2 linked regions of the Danio rerio genome follow. Each later gene encodes a partner of the first gene's protein in a complex. Links are inferred from orthologs where the notes say so. Each region holds a gene or a part of one and is shown in the gene's direction. Other genes may lie near its edges.

Region 1 (2,992 bases):
TAATAATACCTTTTTATAGTTGTGTGGTGTGCACGCATAAAGCTGCAGTCACGCTGGACTTCTCTCCCCATAGACTTTTTTCGGAAACGTAAGGTCGTGTGTCACTGCGTTGGAAAGTTCAAGCTTGGTGAACTCTGTCCTGCTAAATCGCATCACATGATTGTGAGAGACCAATCGAAGAGCAAAACGTGAACTCTGTACAGGAATTTAAAACATGGAGCAGTCACTCGCTTTTTTAATATCCAATCATCTTGTTTAATTTCGGCCTTTTGTGCAGCCCTGTACAACAGAATTTCGCAAGCTCAAACTCTAGTGTGACTACAGCATTAACTCTGAATCAGTCCACTCAAGACTTGGTTGACCTAACTCAGATCAGCTGTTCTGAAACTAAAAACTCTTGAGTTTTTAATCTCTTGGTAAGTCAACTCAGAGTTCAAGTTTAAAGTTCGAGTTGGTTGAACCTCCTTACTGAAACGGGTCCATTATGTCAATGATGAAGGTGCTTTTTCTTTGCAGGTTTATGTTATGCCCACACGGAATCTGCTTGCGCAGAATTCCGCAGATTTTCCACAGAATTCCGCAGATTTCTGCAGATTATTAGCCCATCATAATTCTGTTTATTTACTTGAGTAAATGTGTAAATCTAAATTTATTCAGTTTTTATTGAGTAATTACTTACTTTTTATTTAATATATTAAGGTTTTAGCTATGATACTCTGCTGGATACTCCCAAAATAATTCCGCAGAAATCCGCAGATTTTTACCAAAATTCTCAGCAGAAATAGCAAAAAACGTCCGCAGATTCCGTCTGGCCCTGGTTATAACCCAGTAGTATGATTCTCTTTCAGACTTCACAAGTCAAGTGATCAAGTCATCGGTGATGTTTAATCCTTTGGATCAGAGCAATGTCGCTGTTGAAAGTGCAGAGGATGCTGAATTGAAGGGGCCAGTGGTATGTTACAAAAAAAGAGTAATTGAGTCTGAAATATCATTAATTCTCTTTGTAAACTTTTTCACTTTTTTCTCACCTTCTGAAAACTTTTCCTTAGATTGACAGGAAATGTTCTCGCTGTAATAAAGAGGGAATGGTTTATCATACAAGACAGATGAGATCTGCAGATGAAGGGCAAACTGTTTTCTTCACATGTATTCACTGCAGGTAATTAACACAGCATGCTCATAAACCCTTGGTGCTCCTTTGAAATTTTAGAGAGTGACAAATTATATATATATATATATATATATATATATATATATATATATATATATATATATATATATATATATATATATATATATAATTTTTATTGTACTTTAAACTTTATTGGTATAAATAAAAACTTACATTAAGCCTCTTTTTGCACTTGCTATGTAAACAAAGACTTTAAAATCTTGGATATGGTTTGTAAAATTTAACCTTTCTGGAGAACTACAGACACACTTGTGTTGTTCACGATCAAAAATAAATGCATTGCAAACTAAATTCATCAAGCGGAAACGTTTGGTACAGCACCCAAACTAAACGTTATTTGTTAAAGCTAGTTTTTGAGATGTCAGTGTCATTTGAAAGTCAACCAGTTTATATAGTTGGTCTTGATTTTTCTCACAATTTTAGAGTAAGTACATTTACATTTAAAAACAATACGTTTTCTACATATACTATTATTTACTATCTATCTGTAATTCAACCAATTAGCACTAATACAAGTACAATTTATTTATATAGCATATTTCGCACACAATGGTAATTCAAAGTGCTTTACATAAGCAAGAATAAAAGACATAAAATAAAATCTTTAAAAGATTTAAAAATGATTAAAAGCTGATTCAAATGTGTTTAAAACAGGTTATTAAAGAATGAAAATGAAAACGAAAGCCGTAATGGTTTGATCTGTCGGACATAGCACAGTGCTCATTCAGTAAAGGCACAGCTAAACTGTTTTCAGTCTTGATTTGAATGTGCCTAATGTTGGAGCACATCTGACCGTTTCTGGAAGCGGATTTCAGCTGTGGAGGGTTAATAGCCGAAGGCCGATTCACCCCGCTTTGACTGAACACTTGGGATTTCTTATTTACTTGGTTCTAATGATCTGAATGATCTGTTAGGTTTGTATTCAGTTAGGTCTTAGGCTACTTTTAAATCGATTATGAATGTAACTGGGAGCTAGTGCAAAGACCTGAGGACAGATGTGCTCTGATTTTCTGGTTTTGAATAAGCTGCAACTGTCTGACTGTCTTTTTTGGGTATTATATAGTATTAATATTTTACTTTTTTTTGTTATAGGTTCCAAGAAAAGGAAGACTCATGAGAAATGTGTTGCTGCTGCTGTCTTATATTGATTGCTAGAATTTAATTGTATAAAATAATGTAAAGGTTTTGTTTGTATTCATACTATTCAGTGTTAATAAAAATTATCAAAAGAATGTTTGTCTTTTATATCTAATATGTAATTTTCTTTATATATAGTATAAGGAATGCATAATAAACACTATTTATAATTTTAAAAATAAAAGTTTGTAAAAGAAATACGGTTTTCCGAAAAGTCCCTTCCCACACGCGTGAGCCAATCAGCCTTTATGTTTCAGCGATCACGTGATCGTACAACATGGCTTCACACTGTCCGAGCTGAATGGCTAGATGACTGTTCATGAAGAAGTACAATGATGTGTATCACTTTATGCACTATTTAGTGCTTCCTAGCGCCTGTGAAACAAGGTAAGCAAATTGACTGTATAATAAATCTAAGTTTAAAGCGAGAATGACTACGATATATGATACATACATTTTCTAGGCATGAACTCAAGGCAGCAAGAATTTAAAGCATCTATTGTTCCTTAAATGCTCATTTCAATATATTGTTGTTGTTACCTTTGATATCAGTGTGTTTACGTTAGTGTAACCAACAAAGTAGATGCACTATAACATCTCAGTCAAAGATAGTGAACAATATGACTCCGTTTGACAGATAATGTTTTCTGATAGAGCCTAATG
Region 2 (3,761 bases), on another chromosome or scaffold:
CCCAAAAATCAAATTTTTCGTGAAAATGCTCTAAGAAACATTTCGAAATTGAACTTCCGGGTGGCGATACTAACGTTACCAATCCTGGTAGAAGAAATGCTTCACTCATGAATATTAATTACGTCACATGTCAATCTTACTTTAGTATTGCGTGATTGGGTCAGAGTTAGATTTAGTAGGCGGTCACGGAAGCGTGCCTCATGAATATTATGTTACAAAGCTGTCATGTGTATTTCCTGCCTTCTTTTCTTTTCCAAAACGCTAGAAAATAGATTTGTCTTGGTTTAAATAAACTATATTTATTTGTCGGACGTGATGCAGTGGCGCAGTAGGTAGTGCTGTCGCCTCACAGCAAGAAGGGTACTGGTTCGAGCCTCAGCTGGGTTAGTTGGCGTTTCTGTGTGGAGTTTGCATGTTCTCCCTGTGTTCGTGTGGTTTTCCCCACAGTCCTAAGACATGCGGTACAGGTGAATTGGGTAGGCTAAATTGTCCATAGTGTATGAGAGAGACCTAGAGATGGGTTGCAGCGGGAAGGGGATCTGCTGCGTAAAACATATGCTGGATAAGTTGGCGGTTCATTCTGCTGTGTTGACCTCAGATTAAAAAAGGGACTGAGTCGAATAGAAAATGTACTCTCAACATTTTGTTTAAAAACTTTAATGGTTTGCCACAAAAGAGTTTTTTGGGTTTATTGGGTTTATCAAAATGATTGGGTTTTACAGTGCAGTTACAATAAAATGTTAAAATCTTTATGTTGAAACTGTAGTTTCAGAGAAATTTGAGAAACACCAGAGTTGATTATTTTTAGGATCCCTCTGCAAAACATGGTGAAGGAGCCTCAGACATTGCATTAATAAAATTGAATGTCAGTGCTGTCTGATCTGATTGTAAAATAAATCATAGAAACTTGTGCTGTTGGGCACAAACTGTCTGTGTGGTGTAAATAATCAGCATTACTTAGTCATGTCTACAAGCATAAACCTTATTCTGGACATAATCTAAACTAGTGTATGAATATTATAGTTTTATTGCTCAGTCCTAACATGAAATTCAATATAAAAAGCTTGTAGAATTAAGAATACTTATTTGCCATCATCAGTTTAAAATAAATTTCCTTCACTTTATTTTTATTTATTTCAGTTTAAACATCAGTTTAGGCCTTTATTTATTTATTTTGTCATTTATTTTGCATTTTAGACCAAATTCAGCCTTGGAGAACAAAATAGACTACTTTCAAAAGCTTTTACAATACATTTTGAAAGGCTTTTAATCCATATTTATTCAATTTTAAAAATAGTTGTGCAAATTCAATTAATATCATATCAGAACAATTGAATGGAAGTTTCTGTTTAAACTGTTTAAACCGATTGGTGTCGCTGTTCGTGCAGGAACGCGTGCTAATATCAGCCGAGGAAACCGTAATAATGGCGGCGACCTGTTCGTGGAAAACATGTGAAGAAACGGAACAGAATACTTTTATTGGTAATGTTTTAATACCCAGAGTATCATAAATGTAACATAATATATAATTGCTGTTATTTGTTAGCTGTAATAAACTAATCTTATTCTTCCTCTATGTATTTAACGCACCCACGTGGATATGGTCATCTCGACCAAATAATAAACAATGTACACTCAGTCTAACAGTATAGTTTTTAAAACTGTCACGCATTGTATTTTAAAGCATTATTCTTGTCATTACAGTTAAGTTCTCTAATGGAAATGTGAAAAATGCCGAGGAGCTGGACTTTACTGTCTTCAAACACTCAAATGCATCAAATCCCAGAAAGAAAAACAGACGAATAGTGGTAAAACACTTATACCTACTGAAACTGCGTTTGTTTTATAACTTTAAAAAGTCTAAATTGAAGCAATTGTGTTGTTTGTGCTTTTAGGAACTAACTTTATCTTTTCTATGCAGGTTGCAGATTCAGATAGGCTTCCCTATGTAGGGAGCAATTTTGGGTCTGGATCGCTGCAGTCTAATAATATGTGCAAGTGAGGTCATCACGTTGTTATTTATTTGCTGAGCAACACTTAAATAACCTCTCAATAATGGTGTGTAAATGTTGTCAACAGGTATTTTGTGGGAGTTCTTGACAAGCAGACTATGCAAATGAAAGTTCATAGTGCTCAGCTGTTCAATATGCTGCCCGTCATACCAGGTAAACAGTTTTACATCTGAAATATTATGGACATAAATGTTTAGGGTTCTTAGAGTTCAAAGGAACTTTTACTCGTTTTTGGGGGTGAAATTGTTTGCATGCCTCTAAGTCTGTAACGTTAGTAATATTATTTGTATTACCATGTTACTGAGTGCTGTTAGTATAATATCTCATACATTATTATATTGTGTAATAATCGTTAATGGTTATCATTTATAGTGAACATGAATATTTATACTATTCAAATATTTTTGTCATGACAGCGCTCTGAGAGGTTTAGTATGGTAATATATATGTATTTGGCATTGTTGATGTATTTGGTCTTGGCGGCATAGATCTGCTACGCAGCTGCTGCTTTGATTGCTATGGCGGAACAAGTTCTGTGACTTGCTGCTGCCAGTATATTCACAGACATGCAGTATAGACTTTTTTGAGAGATGTAAACAATAACTATGGTTTAAATGTATTTCCTGTTTTACATTTTTTGTTTCCATAGTTTCTAAAAGGTCCACCTATTGATAATGTTATGACAGCTGTTTTTAACGTTAAGATGGGATTTCATTGAAATGCCTCTTGTTACAGTTATGAAATAGTTTGACAGGACATGTTCATTGGCCAGTGATATCATATTGAAATGGTATATATATATATATATATATATATATATATATATATATATATATATATATATATATATATATATAAAACCCATAGCAGATATATGGAGGGGGTACTCTGAAAAACACACTTTATACTATATAATGCTCCACTATTTTCTTTTCCAATTCAACAGTAATGTTTTGGGCTATGTTCACACTGCAGCCAAATGTGGCCCAGATCAGATTTTTTTGCTTACATGTGGCTCAAGTAATGACCAAACTGCATGGAATCTCATCTTTATAGTTCAGATTTGTGCCACTATCAAATGCGAAATGCATCATTATCTGTGCTGCAAACATCATCTATTCCTCAGCAGCATTGTAGAATGACGAACAGGACAATTACTTTACCACAGAAATTGGTTGTTCATTTTAAAAAAGATTTTGAAGGCAAAACTGGTTTTGTTAACGATGCGTACACTAAGGAGGGGGCACTTTCATTTTAAGGGGGAAATTTCTTTCCAATAGAAAAAAGGGCAGGTGCTCGAGCACCCGAATCCCCCTTCAGCACGTGCCTGCTGTTTATAAGGAAGTAAAATAAAATAACTCTGCAAACAGAGACCAACTCCACCTTCACAGTTCAGTTTGCGACTGCTCATTAACCCTTGATGAGTTTACCACAGCGGTGGTCAGAAAGACACGCACCGCGGTTGTCATAGATCACAAATGATCAGTGTTTTCAAATCACAAGTGACTTATTTTAGGTCTGAAATGCCGTAATACGCGTTCGTAGTAGCAGAACAATCCTTTAAATTTTATGAAATATGAAAAGGGCAATAATCATGTAAGCATGATCTGACAATTTGCTTACTTCATACATTTCGTGCAAAATTAGACATTTTGTGCTGTCCGTAATGTACTTTTGCGCATGCAGATCTGTTCACACTGCAAATCTGATATTGGCCACATTAATAACAACAATGTAAACAGCTATGCC

What was found.
Region 2: polr1h (region 1) and polr1e share a complex: the UniProt entries of both Homo sapiens proteins name them as parts of the RNA polymerase I (Pol I) complex. The link is inferred for Danio rerio from reciprocal best matches to the Homo sapiens genes POLR1H and POLR1E.

What each region holds. Positions count from the first base shown.
Region 1 is NC_133194.1:29,750,706-29,753,697, reverse strand, and holds the end of polr1h (DNA-directed RNA polymerase I subunit RPA12), read left to right. Parts: intron 1-848; coding exon 849-952; intron 953-1,049; coding exon 1,050-1,159; intron 1,160-2,284; coding exon 2,285-2,309; 3' UTR 2,310-2,424; downstream 2,425-2,992. UniProt on the Homo sapiens protein: Core component of RNA polymerase I (Pol I), a DNA-dependent RNA polymerase which synthesizes ribosomal RNA precursors using the four ribonucleoside triphosphates as substrates. Can mediate Pol I proofreading of the nascent RNA transcript.
Region 2 is NC_133176.1:21,148,148-21,151,908, reverse strand, and holds the start of polr1e (DNA-directed RNA polymerase I subunit RPA49), read left to right. Parts: upstream 1-1,389; 5' UTR 1,390-1,424; coding exon 1,425-1,482; intron 1,483-1,704; coding exon 1,705-1,808; intron 1,809-1,921; coding exon 1,922-1,998; intron 1,999-2,079; coding exon 2,080-2,165; intron 2,166-3,761. UniProt on the Homo sapiens protein: Component of RNA polymerase I (Pol I), a DNA-dependent RNA polymerase which synthesizes ribosomal RNA precursors using the four ribonucleoside triphosphates as substrates.